Linked DNA regions of Xenopus tropicalis. The protein of the gene in region 1 interacts with the protein of each later gene in a pairwise test. Links are inferred from orthologs where the notes say so. Each region holds a gene or a part of one and is shown in the gene's direction. Other genes may lie near its edges.

Evidence for each region. The genes of interacting proteins can lie anywhere in the genome.
Region 2: the proteins of txn2 (region 1) and scyl3 interact in binary tests that used the Homo sapiens proteins (3 or more experiments, as listed by UniProt). The two-hybrid records come from large-scale screens. The link is inferred for Xenopus tropicalis from reciprocal best matches to the Homo sapiens genes TXN2 and SCYL3.
Region 3: the proteins of txn2 (region 1) and agtrap interact in binary tests that used the Homo sapiens proteins (3 or more experiments, as listed by UniProt). The two-hybrid records come from large-scale screens. The link is inferred for Xenopus tropicalis from reciprocal best matches to the Homo sapiens genes TXN2 and AGTRAP.

Annotation. Positions count from the first base shown.
Region 1 is NC_030680.2:115,531,844-115,537,544, reverse strand, and holds the start of txn2 (thioredoxin, mitochondrial), read left to right. Parts: upstream 1-2,243; 5' UTR 2,244-2,306; intron 2,307-5,701.
Region 2 is NC_030680.2:118,611,359-118,617,018, forward strand, and holds the start of scyl3 (protein-associating with the carboxyl-terminal domain of ezrin), read left to right. Parts: upstream 1-1,778; 5' UTR 1,779-2,166; coding exon 2,167-2,331; intron 2,332-5,660. UniProt on the Homo sapiens protein: May play a role in regulating cell adhesion/migration complexes in migrating cells.
Region 3 is NC_030683.2:65,681,056-65,686,636, forward strand, and holds the start of agtrap (type-1 angiotensin II receptor-associated protein-like), read left to right. Parts: upstream 1-1,699; 5' UTR 1,700-1,737; coding exon 1,738-1,764; intron 1,765-5,581. UniProt on the Homo sapiens protein: Appears to be a negative regulator of type-1 angiotensin II receptor-mediated signaling by regulating receptor internalization as well as mechanism of receptor desensitization such as phosphorylation.

The DNA of each region.
Region 1 (5,701 bases):
AGGTCACTAAAATCATAATGCCTTGGTGTAGGATTCTGTTTACAAGTGCTGATTCAGCAGGAGGCTGCAGGATTTAACACAAACACCAAGCACTCTCACTAAACAACAAGAGGGACTTAACAGTGGCACTTGGTTCATTCCCCAGATGTATAAAAACAAACTCTGAATACTTTTAAAGAATGTACAGTACGATATGTCTTGCATTCAGCATTAGTTATTGGGGAGTTTGGCATCTGCAGTTTGCTGCTTAAAAATGCTTTTTATAGGCAAATTAATGTTAACTAGGCCAGATATATTTTACATTACTCCCTAATGTATAGTAATCCCGTTTCAACTATAGAGGATGACATGTATCATCATGTTAAAAAAGCAAGTTTACCTATTATTGAATGCTATTGAGTTGAAGCTGCTAATTTTGCCCGGGCATGTTTAGGGTCATCTGCTGGAGAAACAGGCAGGAAATAAATGTTTTTAGACTTTGCTTTCATCCACACTACTGTATACAGTATATATACATACACAATAAACGCACCTAAGAACCCAATAACATACCTCCCAACATTTTGAATACGGAAAGAGGGACAAAAACAAATGGTGTGCGCAGCGTGGCAATTTTTTTGACCACACCCCCTAAATACCACTCCAATTTGACTAAATTTGGCAGGTTATTTAAAGTTTGAACACATTTCTGGGGGTTGTGGGGTCCTGTTTTATGTGTTATTACAGTTTTGCTAAAAAAAAAAAAAAAAAAAAGGTGAAGTTGCCCTTTAAGCTGCAAGTCTCAGTTCCCCTAAGAGACCATTTTAGCTTATTAGTTACAATTGTATCTCAGCGCAGGTGTGGCTTTTTACCTTTCTGGGCTCTCTGCCAAAAGCCCACTTGTTTAATTAAATGTGAGAAACAATGTATCTAAGTGCAGGTGAAGCTTGTTTAGCTTTCTGGGCTCTCTGCCAAAAGCTACTTTTAATTAAATTTTTATCTTTTTTAGCTTCAGTGCAGGAGATCAAGGGAAATGAGGGACTTTTCAGTAAGAATCCAGGACTGTGGGTTGAGCTGTCAAAAGAGGGACTGTCCTGCGAAAATCGGGACAGTTGGGAGGTATGCAATAACCTTTGGGACAATAGAATTTACAGCCAGGGCCGTATCCACTCTAAAGCTGGCCATACACGCACCGATAATATCTTACGAAACCTCGTGTATGGCAAGTCGGTGAGTCAACCGATATCGCAGGATGCTGCTGATATTGGTCGACTCACCAATCGGGTGGGTTAAAAGATTTTGATCGGGCACCACAGAAGGCGCCTGAGCAAAATCTGTCTTCAGGGCTGAATTGGCAGAAGGAGGTGGAAGGAGGCAGCAGCTTCCAGGGGGTGGCAGTACACATGGTATCTTTTTCTTCTTCTTTTTTTTGTGAGTGTGGACCCCGCTGGCTTTAGACTACCCCGCTGGCACCCCTACCTGCAAATATATGGGTTGAAATCAGTGGCACAAGGGCACTTAAACCCTTTAGCACCCCGTTGCTTATTCAAATAGATAGAACTGCAAGGATATCCACATTGATGCCACTTTAAATCATTAGTTACTTATTCATCAGACCAAATAAGAAGCTATTACCCCTTTGGTGGCAATGTTCCTGCCCAGAACCGTTTCGAACCAGGCTGGCACAAATGTAGTTTATGTAGGGCATCTCTGACAATGAATGTGAACTTTTAAATCCGTGGCCCAAGGTCATTTATTTCTTTAAAACCCAGTTACTTACTCACTGACTGAACAAGAAACCAACTTCAACGCTGTAATAAATAGAGCATTAGCTAATCACATATTCACACCAGCCAAAGCTCTGTACTTCAACTGTGAAGAGCGTTTTTTATTGGTCAGCCAGAGCAGCTGAGTGATTCGGGAAGAAAGAATGATTTGCCCTTCTGAAGCTGATAAGGAAGTAATGTTTCTGTGCTGCACAAGGGCAGGCTGGTGGGAGGAGTATTACAGGAGAGAAGGAAGTGGCGAGTACTGTTTGTGGGATCACAAAGGAGAAAGTTTCTGAAGTGCATGTTAGCAACTACATGGCTGTTTATTAGCATTTGCACTAAGGCTGTACTGTTTTTATGCAGACAAATTAAAACCATAACATGAGCCAAAGACAGCAGCAGCTACGTCACAACCATGTGACTGTTATAGGCCTTTCTGCTACGGCTCCAGCCCCACCCCCAGCCCCACCCCCACTCACGCCCACTCCAGGAATTCTTCCGGTGCATGTGGAACCCTCCAGCGGTCCCTGACCAGTTCCTCCGCCTGCCTGAAGAAAGGTACTGTACTCATACAATTTCTACACAACTTTTCTACAATTTCTATAATAGGTTTGGGGGTTTTGTTGCACACTCGCTGCACACTGGCATGCACACACAACTTGGGCAAGTGCACACACAGTTTGAACATTTTGTGAGTGTTGTTTTGCCCTAAAATTGTTTTATTACCCAGTGTGACTAAATCATCACAATGATCACTTACAAATGACAGTGCAGAGCACAAGGTCAGGAGCTGTTTCTGTGTATAAATAAATGCATACTGTATTATTTTGCATTGTGCAGAAGGTGTAGTTTTCCTGTATGTTTGGTTTGTGTTTGTTAACTTACTGGTTACTTGGCTTTTACAATAACATGAAATGTAGAGTATGTGTTGTGTTTGCACTGGCCAAGGTTTCAACCATGAAAAATTGTATGCACTGTCAGTTTTAGGGTCTTTACGTGCCTCATGGTTCAGTAATCCTATGCATATTGGCTATTCAGTTATTTAGAAGACCCTTGGAAATGTATTTTGATTTATCTTTGTACCCAAGAACCAGTAGGAGAAGGTACTGTAAATTGAAAAAAGTTGAAAAAAAAAAACTAATAAACTAATAGCATTAGCAGTTTGGGAGTAGAAAGCTATATTTATCTGTTTTAAGTTCTCCATAAAGTGAAGTTTTCATAAATAAATGATCTTCTGGAGTTAATCTAGTGATTAGGATTAGGGGTGCGTAAGAGATTGCCACTTGCGTAAGAAGCACTTTTCCCCAGGGGAAAGCTATATTCTGCTCCTTGTGCCAGATCAAAATCTGGCGCAAGAAGCAGAGCACAAAGGTACTTATCACCTGGCATAGAGCAGTCTGAATGATGCACAGGTTAGGGGGTAGGATGCCTAATCAGCCTGCATCTAATAATAAATACAATTACATTGAATACACAAATCAATGTGGTTCTTAGTTATAACTATTATACAACCCGGATTCCAAAAAAGTTGGGACACTAAACAAATTGTGAATAAAAACTGAACGCAATGATGTGGAGGTGCCAACTGCTAATATTTTATTCAGAATAGAACATAAATCACGGTACAAAAGTTTCAACTGAGAAAATGTACCATTTTGAGGGAAAAATATGTTGATTCAGAATTTCATGGTGTCAACAAATCCCAAAAAAGTTGGGACAAGTAGCAATAAGAGGCTGGAAAAAGTAAATTTGAGCATAACGAAGAGCTGGAAGACCAAATAACACTAATTAGGTCAATTGGCAACATGATTGGGTATAAAAAGAGCTTCTCAGAGTGGCAGTGTCTCTCAGAAGCCAAGATGGGTAGAGGATCACCAATTCCCACAATGTTGTGCAGAAAGATAGTGGAGCAATATCAGAAAGGTGTTACCCAGCGAAAAATTGCAAAGATTTTGCATCTATCATCATCAACTGTGCATAACATCATCCGAAGATTCAGAGAATCTGGAACAATCTCTGTGCGTAAGGGTCAAGGCCGTAAAACCATACTGGATGCCCGTGATCTCCGGGCCCTTAAACGACACTGCACCACAAACAGGAATGCTACTTTAAAGGAAATCACAGAATGGGCTCAGGAATACTTCCAGAAACCATTGTCAGTGAACACAATCCACCGTGCCATCCGCCGTTGCCAGCTGAAACTCTACAGTGCAAAGAAGAAGCCATTTCTAAGCAAGATCCACAAGCTCAGGCGTTTTCACTGGGCCAGGGATCATTTAAAATGGAGTGTGGCAAAATGGAAGACTGTTCTGTGGTCAGACGAGTCACGATTCGAAGTTCTTTTTGGAAATCTGGGACGCCATGTCATCCGGACCAAAGAGGACAAGGACAACCCAAGTTGTTATCAACGCTCAGTTCAGAAGCCTGCATCTGTGATGGTATGGGGTTGCATGAGTGCGTGTGGCATGGGCAGCTTGCATGTCTGGAAAGGCAGCATCAATGCAGAAAAATATATTCAGGTTCTAGAACAACATATGCTCCCATCCAGACGTCATCTCTTTCAGGGATGACCCTGCATTTTTCAACAAGATAATGCCAGACCACATTCTGCATCAAACACAACATCATGGCTGCGTAGGAGAAGGATCTGGGTACTGAAATGGCCAGTCTGCAGTCCAGATCTTTCACCTATAGAGAACATTTGGCGCGTCATAAAGAGGAAGGTGCGACAAAGAAGGCACAAGACGATTGAACAGTTAGAGGCCTGTATTAGACAAGAATGGGAGAGCATTCCTATTCCTAAACTTGAGAAACTGGTCTCCTCGGTCCCCAGACGTCTGTTGAGTGTTGTAAGAAGAAGGGGAGATGCCACACAGTGGTGAAAATGGCCTTGTCCCAACTTTTTTGAGATTTGTTGACACCATGAAATTCTGAATCAACATATTTTTCCCTTAAAATGGTACATTTTCTCAGTTTAAACTTTTGTTCCGTGATTTATGTTCTATTCTGAATAAAATATTAGAAGTTGGCACCTCCACATCATTGCATTCAGTTTTTATTCACAATTTGTTTAGTGTCCCAACTTTTTTGGAATCCGTGTTGTATGTCTGGTGCTGTTGATATATGAACAAGTCCAATCAGATGAAGCACCAAAATATTTGGTAGCGGTGTACATAATGATATGTAACAATCATGTACAGTTAGTAATGAGAGTCCTGTTTGCACATGACATAGATGCAGGCCAATGACCTTTTAATTTAGTGAGGAATGTCCAAAATAGTTCCCATATAGGGGCACCCTATTGTGATCTTTTCTTATCCCATACTATGAAGTAAATCTGATTCAGAGCTTAAAGCCAAAGGGAAGACATTCTTTGTTTTCGTACACCTCAGCAAGTGCTACAGCCATATTTTGTGAAAGGGGAACTTATAAGATTGCATTCCCTGAGCTTTACTTGTAAAGGTGGCCTTCAAACCAATTGGGCAGCTTATCTGCCCCTGTATGGGGACCGCCGACGGGCCTACCCAACCAACATCTGGCTTAAACCTGGCTAGATCTCAGTCGGACAGGATTAATTTTTCCATTGCATCAGGGACAACGTCAGCTCATTGATGCAGTCCGTGAGCCGATGGCACCTATACCCGCTGTTTTAATTCAATTGAGAGCTAAACTATTGAATTAGCCTGATATTGGCCACCTTAGATGGGCAGATTGGGAGAAGATCTGCTGGTTTGGTAAAGTCGCCAAATAAGCAGGTCGCAAAATGTATGGCCACCTTTAGTCACTGAGGGCATGCCGAGATACTGATTCCTTTGCTGGCTATCAAACATATGAGCAGGGACTGCTGCAGCCTGGTCCATTCTTCCTATGACATTAGAAATAACTTAATCACCTCCTTCCTACCAGTACTCAGCCTGCCTACTACCAGCAGTGTATGCTGTCTTTAATATTCA
Region 2 (5,660 bases), about 3.1 Mb from region 1:
GTGCGAATAACCACTCTGAAAAGGCTTTCCTTCCCTCTCTATCTCACTTTCCTAGAAAGTGCTCTAAAAGAGTAACTAACTGGTCCTCCTTCACTGGGTCCCTGTCCCTGACTTCACTAGAGTAGTTGGTGACTCTAGGGTAAATTATGGCTTTATTGAGGCCCTGTTGATCCCAGGCTCAGTGGACCTGAGACACAGCTAAACACTATATTGGAGTGCAAAGGGTGGAGTCAACCTGTAAACCAATATGGCACATATGCAAAACTATAAACTGGATACATGGGTATTTGCCCAGTAACATAAACTAGGGAGTTGTAGGGTTTAAAGCCATAGGGGCAGATTAACCCTATGGGTCCCTACACTTTTGTAACTTACGTATAAACTCCACTGCCCCCCCCAATTAAAATACTGACTTATTAGCACATTTATTTTTATGAACTACTACTGACTAGTTATTGGGCCCCTAAACTTAGGTAGTTTATGTATGTATGTATGTATATCTTTATTTATAAAGCGCTACTTATGTACGCAGCGCTGTACAGTAAAATACATTAATACAAACCGGGTTATTAAGATAATAATAGATAAATAAAAAGTAAAACAATAAATACAGATAGATACAACATAAATACAGTTGCAATAAGTCAAAGACACAAGAGGATGGAGGTCCCAGCCCCGTAGAGCTTACAATCTATATGGGAGGATAACTTACAGACACAAATAGGCAAATATAAGTGCTGTAGGTCACAGTGGGTGACACTACAATATAAGTGCTGGTTCCCAGATCAGGTGCTGGGTGAGTGCTCCAAAAGGCAGTCTTTAAGTTAAGTTTTAAAAAGACTGAGGGAGGATTCTCTCCGGAGGAAATCAGGGAGGGCATTCCAAATGTAAGGGGCAGCAAGGCAGAAAGGTTTGAGGTGGGAAACAGCAGTAGTAGTGGGGGGCGCAACCAAACAATTGCTCTGCGAGGAACGAAGGAGTCGGCCAGGAACATACGGAGACACAAGAGAAGAGATGTAGTGAGGAGCAGAGGAATGGAGGGCTTTGAAGGTTAAGAGGAGTTTGTAAGATATTCTTTGTTTAATAGGAAGCCACGATAAGGCCTTTAGCAGGGGAAGGGCCTGAACTCTCCTGGAGAGGAGGAGAATTCAGGCAGCAGTATTTAATACAGACTGTAGGGGGAAAGATGGGCGTTAGGGAGGCCGGTTAGTAGCAGGTTACAGTAGGCAAGTCAGGATAGGATGAGAGCATGCATGAGCAGCCTAGCTGTTACAGTAGAGAGAAAGGGACGGATTTTGGCAATATTGTGTAAGAAAAAGTGACAGGTTTTGACAGTTTACGTAACTTATACAAAACTGTACACAACTTCCATATTAATCAATGACAGCGCAGAGCAGGTGCAGGAAAGGGTTAAACTTATGGCAAACTCTGTTGACCCCCCAATGAATTGACTGAATTACTAGCACTTTACTCAGTGGAACGCTGTATATGAACTGCTTATTATACAGTAACATTAGCCGTTTATATCGCACACAAGGGACGTGGCCACATTTCGGTACTGCGCTTGCGTTCATGGGGGGGGCAAAGTTTCGGTAAGCCATTGCGGCCCTGAAATCCTCCAGAAATGCCATTTGCAGGGTATAAACCACCACTAACTTGTTTAAATGAAACCGCGCCTTCACCCGACTTTTCCTGTCCAATACTAAGCCTCACTCCTCCCACTCCCAGCCATGTGACCATAACATTAGGGAAAGTCCGTTCCGGCATTAGAATTTACCTTCCGCTTCTGGCAGTGCTAGAGATACAGGAGGGCGTGTCCTCAGTTTGAGCCAATCACATGCTCCCCCGGCTCTTGCTAGCGGCTGCTCGGAAGGGTTGGCGGCTTGTGGGACGGATAGCGAGCATTTCCGGGTTAGGAGGAAGAAGGAATGAGCTGTCTGTCACTGGAGCCTGGGTGGCTGTTGTGGCTGCTAAGGAACGCGTCCCCAGGGCTTTCTCCCTGAGTGAGACATACCGGCTCCCTGAGCTGCAATGCTTTAGGCTGCGGTACTGTACGGAAGGCACAGGCCTGGCCCCGGGGTGCAGTCATTTTCTAGGCATAAGGACGGTATATACGCACCGCTGGCAGGCTTCAGGGTAGGGATCCCTCCATACAGCTGCAGTATTATGGGCTCGGAGAACAGCTCCCTGCGAGGATTTACTCTCCAAGATCCTCCCTGGACTCAACCATCTGGGCTCACTATATACCCGGCTCTCCTAGCGGAGGGGCGTCCTGCTTCTGTGTTTGTCTATCAGCCGGAAAATCAGGATAAAGTGGATAAAGCTGCCAAGGTAAATGGCTGAGTTTGTGGTGATGGCTGTCTGTCTGTCTGTCTGTCTGTCTGCTGGGTTACATCAGGTGCACTCGGTAGGGATAATTCTGCCATTTCTGTAATTCTTACCTGCAGCTGTTGGGCCTGATAAGTATAGGGGGATATAAAGCCTCATACGATAGTCCCTCAGTCCATATGTACTCAAGGAAAGCTCTGTGGGAGTAACTTAGTGCCACTAACACCATACAGTGACAGTGTTTTATTTACATTTAGTGGTTCTGTCTGTTTGTCAAGAACCTGGAATTAAAGATTTATTGATAAAAGAAGCAGTATTAAAAATCTGATTGGGTGTTATTTCTTAACCAAAACTGGGCAGACCTCTTTTCGTTATTACTTTCAGTGGAGGCGCTTGACTTTAGAAGTGGGCCAAAGTCTCAATAGCTGAGAAATATTACGGTAATAATTGTGCCCATTACCCATGTCACTTCCTGTGATGGGGGAGCAGGAGGCGGCACAAGGCCACTAACGAAAAAGCAAGCTTAGCACTAGGAATCATATTGGATTAAGGCTGAAGACACATGGAGCTACTTAGTAGCAGCTATTGGTCACAACTACTAAATGCAAGAAAATACCCTGCTATAGACAATACTGAGAATTGCCTCTGCTAAAACACTCATAGAGACAATTATCAGGAAATGATCAGCATTGTCTGTAGCCGTTTCAAGTAGCTGCTACTAGTAGCTCTGTGTGTCTTCCAGACTAATGTCCCCGAAATGCCATCCCACTGGCTAGAATGTAAAATGCTGGTGGGATGGCATATGCAGCACCGCGATTTGCCGAAGTCGCTTGAGTTTTTGGGGCTAATCTCCCCGTGTGTCACAGCCCTAAGGGCAGTGGCAGACGGGGAGATTAGTTGCCCTGTGACAAATCTTCATTGCCGTGGACAACTAATCTCCCCACAGTGCCATCCCACCTCCAAGAATGTAAATCGCTGGTGGGATGGCATACGCGTCGCTACGATTTCCCAAAGTTGCTCTTGAGAGGAAACTTTGGGTGACTTCAGGAAATCGTAGTGACGCGTATGCCATCCCACCAGCGATTGCGGGGAGATTAATCGCCCGTGGCAACAAAGATTAGCGACTAATCTCCCCGTCTACCACAGCTCTAATAGTACACTGATAAACCCTCTGCATAAGGCCATGGGTTTTTAAACGGCCAGTTCGCTCCTTTGTTCAACATGAGCGCAATTAATAAGGTTTGTGCTGAACATACTTTTAGCCTATTGTTTTAATCACAAAAATCTATTGTTTTTGTTATTTTTTGAGTTAAACAGGGCAAACTGGGAAATTAAAGCTACTCAATGTTTGGTCCTTGTTAGGCTGATAATTAAATTTCTCCCTGAATAATGCTCATCTGCTTATCCCCCTGCTTATGTGCACTAGTAATCTAATTATCCACCTTACAAGGACCAAACATGGTGTAGCTTCACTCTCCCTCTTTGCCCAGTCATTAAAAGGGACATATTGCGTGAAAAACAATATTGTGGCAATGAATTGTATTCATCTGAATATAGAAAGAATGTGCTTTAAAAAGTAGCATTTTTGGCTGATTTATTGAAAATTTCTTCAAAAACCCCTCTAGTCCCGCCCATCTGTTCCACTTCCTACTTTTTCCTTTCCCAGGCTGTGCAGGGGGGACGGCGCACTTGGCACACTGCACTGAAGAGAACAGATCAGCCACTAGGGCCGGGCTGACCTGATAGGGAAATGAAGCCTGTCAGAACCACAGTAGGAGGGGGTTAGCCAAACACAGTCCTGCAGTCACACAAGACTGGACTGTTAGGATACTCCCACAACTCATTTGAAACACAGACTGGTACCTTAGCAGATCTATAGAGAACTCCAATAAATGGGCCATTTTTAAAGATAGTGTTTACTTTTAGCCCAGAGTGAAACCAGCACCATATATTATTCATAATTGCTTACTTTTTATCCTGTATGTCTCTTTTAAAACAATCTGCAAAAAGTATGTTTGTCATAAGCGCACGGGCAGTAGAGTGAAAAGCTGAACTTTAACAAAAAAGCAATTTTTTTCACTGTACTGTCATGCGTGGCCATGGGATTCCCAAAATAGACTAGAGAAGGAAGAGTATCACCGTCTCACATCTACCCTGGGCTGGTGTCGTTTTCTTCTAACAGGAGCACCAGCCTGGGGTATCAGGTAAGCAGTTACAATCACTGGGGGGTACCTAACATTTTGGCACCCCCCAGTGACTTTACCTTTCCTTCTCCTTTAGACCATGGGGCGGTTCGGAGCATAGTGGTTTCCTTCACAGTAGCCTAATGGTATTCCTCTTATCTGTAAGCCAAAACAGACACAACAAAAAGGGTTGAATCCTAAACAAACCTAAGTGTTTGGCCGAATGGAATCCAAACCATGTGAATGCAGCACTTTTGTTGGTTTTTGTAATTGATGCAATTTTTTAAAAATGCTTTTCTTAATATTGAACATGTAAATAAGGGCTCAGTTATTCTGCCAAATCTTATGTGGAGATTCGGTAATGGCCAAATCCAGCATTTATAGATCTGGTGCATCCTTAGTTTATACAGAGCTCATTCTCTCAGGTTAAACTAACTTAGCTGATTATAGGGAGAGGGAGCAGGATATAGTAAGTGTCAAAACAATTATCTAGTAGTGCTTTGTAAATAAAAAATACAAATGCTGTTATAGGCAGAATATGTTTTCAGCTTAACTGTTGTTTATTTGTCACTGTTGAAAATACTTCCTCTAATCAGTATATTGTAAACTGCTTATCTGCTATGCAAATATAGACCCTGCACTCAGCCCTACTGAAACTTGAATAACCCTGTCACCAGATAACAGCTTATTTATACAAATGATACAAGTGCTTCTGAAGCAAATACATTGTGTGTGGGGCAAAGCTGACCATACACAGGCTTATATTAGCTACCAGTCGCATTGGGGGCACAAAAGCCCTATTATGTGGTGCTCTACCAAACTATCTATAGGCATTTATTATTTTTCAATGTTTGGCCCAGGGGACAAATGATCAGATTAGGCTAATTTAGCCCACTGTGTATGGCCAATTCAGGTAAAATCTGCTTGTTTCGCAAAGAGCAGATCTGTTTGTGAATACCTATCTTAAATGGCAAGGAAAGTCCTATCTAGTCTATTAGGAAACCCCAGCTAAACCAATTACATTTTCCTCCCAGGCTGTTGCCCCTTAGGAAACAACATGCACCAACCTGGGGGGAAAAGTAGCACTGCCCTGCCATCATTACACTTATACTCACATGTGGACAGCCAAGTAAAATGTGAAAATATGCG
Region 3 (5,581 bases), on another chromosome or scaffold:
TCTCTGTGCTCGGTGGTGGCATGGGTATTGTGGGGAACCTGCCATTTGGGGAGCCTTGGGGTAGTGGGGCTCGTGCAAACTGTTCTAACCTGCGAGCAGCTGTTTCTCATTTGCTTGTCCCAGGCACTGTTACATGTCTCATTGTAATCTGTGCCATCTTGTGACATCGTGACTGAGCGAGTTTGCGTTCTTTTTGTAGCAGCTTTATTTCAGCCCATCCGAATAGATTACGGAAGTGCGGGAAATTCATTGAACTATCCAGCACAGCGGGATGCGCTGGCTGGAACCGGGCGCTCCAGCTACTTCTGCTGCTCCGGCTTCTTATGCCGCTCCTTGTACGGCGGCGACAGGCCCTTTTATAAGGTTGCGTCCCTTATAAGGTTGCGCAACCTTATAAAAGGGCCTGTCGCTGCCATATAAGGAGCAGAGCAGCAGAATAAGCTGGAGTGCCTATGGGGGCTACTGTGTATGGGAGCACTTACTATGGGGGCATTGTGTATGGGGGGTACAGTCTATGGGGGAATTGTGTATGGGGGGGTACTTTCTATGGGGGCAATTGGGGTACTGTCTATTGGGCCATTGGGGGCATTGTGTATGGGGGGTAAAACTGGTACATAGTTATAACTCACTTATAACTGACTGCCTCCTCTCTTTATTTGTATTTTATATGTAGGAGTTGCTATATTGTTTTCCTTAGGTAGTACAGTATGAGGGTATAGCACATTTGCGTCTGATCCCGCCATTTCAACTATATTAAAGGAGTATTTTTTAATGGGGCGTGGCCACAAAAGTGGGCGTGGTCAAAAATTGCCACGCTGCGCGCACCAAATCTTTTTGTCCCTCTTTTTATTTTTCAGATGTTGGGAGGTATGAATTCAGCCAGCAGGAAGTGGAACAAGCAGGCAGGACTAGTGGGGTTTTGGCGGAATTTCTCAATAAGTCAGTCCGAAACACTAACTTTTTTTAAGCACAATCCTTATATATTTAAAAGGAGTATAATTCACTGGTACATTCATAATTTTGATATATGTCTCTTGAAATAAACCCATCCTAGCAGCCCAGTTTTCTAGTGTGGTGGTGGAGTAAAAAGTTTCCAGGTTGCAATCCTAATGACTGAAACGATTGTCACACACCCAAACAATGTGAAGCACAGCCAGTTTGTACAACATGGCACCAATGCTATGAAGGGATTGCATTAAACCCTCTGAGCAGATCACTTGTATATTCAGGGACATATAATAAATACACGTTGCAGGACATTACTGTTCGCATTTAAACTAAACTGCAATCAGGTTAGCCTGTTACCTGGATTTTTTAGACACGTCCCTCAAGTGATCTGGTTACCCTACTGAGGAGTTTTACATTACACCCTATACCACCACTCTGCTTGAAGTCAGGTACATGTAGGAAACAGGAACTGTGATTCTTAGACCCTTAATAAAGCCAAGAACTTGGTACCATTTTTTCATATTAACTTCACGCATGGGGATGGAGTTTCAATTTCACGCGTGCTTATGTGTGGCCAAAAAATATATATCTCCGGCAATTTATTCAACTAGAACACAATTATGAAACCGGTGTAACCAACAATTGCTGCAATATCACATGACAGCTCACAATCCCATGTGACCCCGCTGACTTAGTTGAGCAAAGCCGCTAGGAAGAGGCATCACGTGATGCGCGTACAGTCGGGCAGGCAATTTCTGAAGTTTAGGGAAGGCAAAAGGAGTCACGGATATGGAGTTACCGGCTGTTAACTTAAAGGTATTGAAGCTTTAGAGAGTAATTGTCTACTTATTAGTGGGGGCGTGGGAACGTTATAAAAACTATTCTAAAGTGTTTCTGGAAGGGGAGATGTGAGGTAACGTGAGGTTCCGCTATGGGATGAGGTTCAGTTGAACTACAGCACCCTACTTTGTATAATATGACTGCTCCGTAACTGCCAACTAACATATCCGATCCTCATTTACAATATTGTATTGCTCTATTTTCCTTACGCTTCGCTAGGTGGGGGCTAAAGGCAGATACTGTAGTGCCAAGGGGCTGCTCTCAGCATATTGCTTTATATACATATTGCCATTATCTGTTGTGTATACCCAGTGAATAGGGAAGCTGCGTACTTTCCCGGAATTCGGCACTTTATTGCTATTGTGCAATTAGCAGAGCTAAAGCCATTGTATGTATTGAAATAAAACTTTGCAGCCCAGTCTTTTACTTTAGGTTTAGAAAAGCGACGGCCATTGACTTTAACCTTTTTTTGTTGATGTGTTAAATTTCCTTCATGACATAATGTACTACACTAATGATCCACATTGTACAGTTGCTGGTATAAAGAAAAACTTTTTATCATTCTAATACTGTTCTTGTTGCAGATGTCAGGTATGCTGTTTAAACATTCAGTTGGTAATATTCTGATAACATGAACATTTTCACAAAGGTCAGGACCCCAAAAATAAGTCCCATTAGGGACAGGCAGAAGAGGCACTTGCCTGGGGGGCAATAGGCAGGTACCTCTATCGCCTACTCTTAGTCCAGGATCTCTTACCCCAACAGTGGATTTCTCGGTGCTCCCCACCTGCATTGGGTTTTTGTGCTTTGCACGTGTGGTGGGGAGGGGGGGTCCCGGAGGAAGCTAAACATGCCATATTTTATATACTCGACTTACTGCACCAGTCTAAAGTTTCAGCATCTCAACAGCGCTTATGATCCAGTGATCAGTTCCCTCTGCCTCCCTCTCTATGCTCAGATCAGTCCCACCCACCCTGATAGTTTCCATCTGTCTCTCAGATCGTTCTTCACCTTCCTCCAATCAGCTTTGATTGTTCCTCTCACTCTGTGCCTTGCTGTTAACTGAAAAAGGTAAAACAACAACAAATATGATTGAAAAAAAAAACAATCTACTAAAAACATTTAATATTTTGTGGGGGTAATTTACAATTTGTAGAAGGTCCATGCAATAAAAAAGCATTTCCAGAATAACAGCTGTGACCTTTTTTCTCTGCAACTTCCTGCATCTGTTCATATACTGTTCCAGAACAGCTGCAGCTTTGTATTCCCTGCACCTGATCATATACTGTTGCAGAACAACAGCTGCAGCTATGTATTCCCTGCAACTCCCTGCACCTGGTCATATACTGTTCCAGAACAACAACTGCAGCTTTGTTTTACCTGCACCTGGTCATATACTGTTCCAGAACAACAACTGCAGCTTTGTTTTACCTGCAACTCCCTGCACCTGGTCATATACTGTTCCAGAACAACTGCAGATTTGTTTTACCTGCAACTCCCTGTACTCATGTATCAATGTGCAGAAAAACAAAGACTGCTTTTTTTTTCTATAACAGTACACACTAATGTGCACTGTTTGTATATCTTTTATAATTTAATAATAGATGCAGGGAGTTGCATAGTGTGTAACAATGTTTTATGGACTATAGATTGTTAGGTCCACTTGGGCACGTTCATTTGTGAATCGTGCACATTTGCTTTGAAAAATACCATTCCACTAACAAAGGAACATTTTACTATTATACTTTTTTACATTTTACAACTATGCTTATTGATCAATAACTAGCTTACTGATCTGGCAGCAGCACAAGCAAAACTATGCAGCCAGGGAGCAGAGAGACACAGAAGGAGAAAACTGGGATGGGTTTTCCCTGCTACTGTTGAGTAAAGCCTGTCTGTCAGTGCTGTGAACACTTCCTGTGGGAGACTGAAGCGACACTCCCACCTTCATTTCACTCTGGCTTCTGACTTGAGAGGTTGTCTCTGCAGCTCTCATATAATGACAGTTTTAGGAGGTAAAATGCTTTCAAAACACCTTTTTTTCTGCATCAGCTGGGCAAGTATCGTTTAAAAGAAGTCCTTATTCACATTAAAAACATGAAGTTGATGCAGGACTTGAATTTGATCCATCTTAAAAAGTGTCTGTGACACTCACATGCTCAGTGTGCTCTAAACAGCTGTTGAGAAGCTAAGCCTAGAGGTTGTTGCAAATTATCAAGCAAATAATAAAGTTGGCCTGGGGCTACAGGGCTGATTATTAAGTTTTGATACAAACTACACTGGTTCCTGAGCTGCTATGTAGTAATTATCTGTATTAATTACTAATCAGCTTTATATTGTGACATTTATACTCTATACATACAGTATATTGTGTGTCGGTCCCTAAGCTTAGTAATTTAAAACCGCACAAAGCATGTTTCTTACTACAGTAAAAAATGAAAATAAATTTAGTCCAGTATTCAAGTCTATCCCATTTCTTGAAGGAGAACTAAAACTTAACAAAGAAGTAGGGTAGAAATGCTGCACATTAAGTTTTGTATTATTATGTACCATGCTACGGCAACCACAGCCCTTTAGCAGTGAAGATCTGTTCCTCTGAAGATGCCCTCAGTAGCTCTCCATCTTCTTTTCTGCTAAATTACAACACATGCTGTGTGCTGCTGTCACTTCCCTGAGTGTAGGGTTTTACTCACAATACTGTATATATAGCATTCACAATACAAGGCTGATTAGTAATTAATTCACATTACATGGCAGCTCTGAGACCAGCACAATTAGCATCATAAATTATTGATCAGCCCTGTAGCATTATCTTATATGACAGGCAAAACTATTTTTCTGCATTATAATTTGCAATGCATGTGCAATGCTTCACAACAGCTGCTCAAAGCACACTGAGCATGTGCAGTGTCACTGAACATGTCCAACACAATTCAAGGTGGCTAGCTCTTGTGACAACTTTCGAGGCCTGGATCATTACTCCTATAGAGAAGCTGAACCTTTAGAATGGTGCATTAAGCTCAGGATTTAAAATATGATATTTCTAGCCATATTCATTTTTAGGGTTTAGTTAAGTAAGAAAAAGGTTAAGAAATCTTTTCTGTTGCATTGATTGGCTAGAATTCTTGGCTAGTTCTGTTAAATCAATGGCATATAGGGCTATAAAGGACATTTTGTCACCTGAGCAATTTCCAGCTTTGTGGGTGACAAAATGCTTGGAATTGCCTTCTATTCGTTATAATGGCAATCTCTGTGAGCCCTTGTGGCTCAGGTGATTGTTAACACTGAGAATCACAGAGAATCCTTTATGTGTTTTTTAGGGTATTTTCCTCATACAGCCAGCACATGCAATTTCTGTACTCTAACGGCTAAATTACACGGGACATTATGATCAGATTTTGTGGGTCAAATTTTATCTGATCCACTAAATCTTGTCACGTAACAGCACAAGATTTTGTAGGATCCTACAAAATCTGATCCCCAACATCTGTAATATAAGTCAGATCAGATAAAGTCAGGTAGTATGTGTTGTTGTTACTGCGTCTAGGAAAAAAAAGTCTTTTAGACACAGATTTTATCTTGTTGGATGCAGACGCAGCATGCCGTATTCCCTTCCAACAGACGTTTAGTGTTGAATGGTATATCTTTCATGTAGTTTGCACATCCGATCAACCCATGCAACTACATCCTACTTTTATGTCAATCCAACATGATCACCAAACCATATGCTTTACAATTTATTATTGATAAGACCCATAGCATATGGATTTTATAGCTGTTTAGACACATGTAG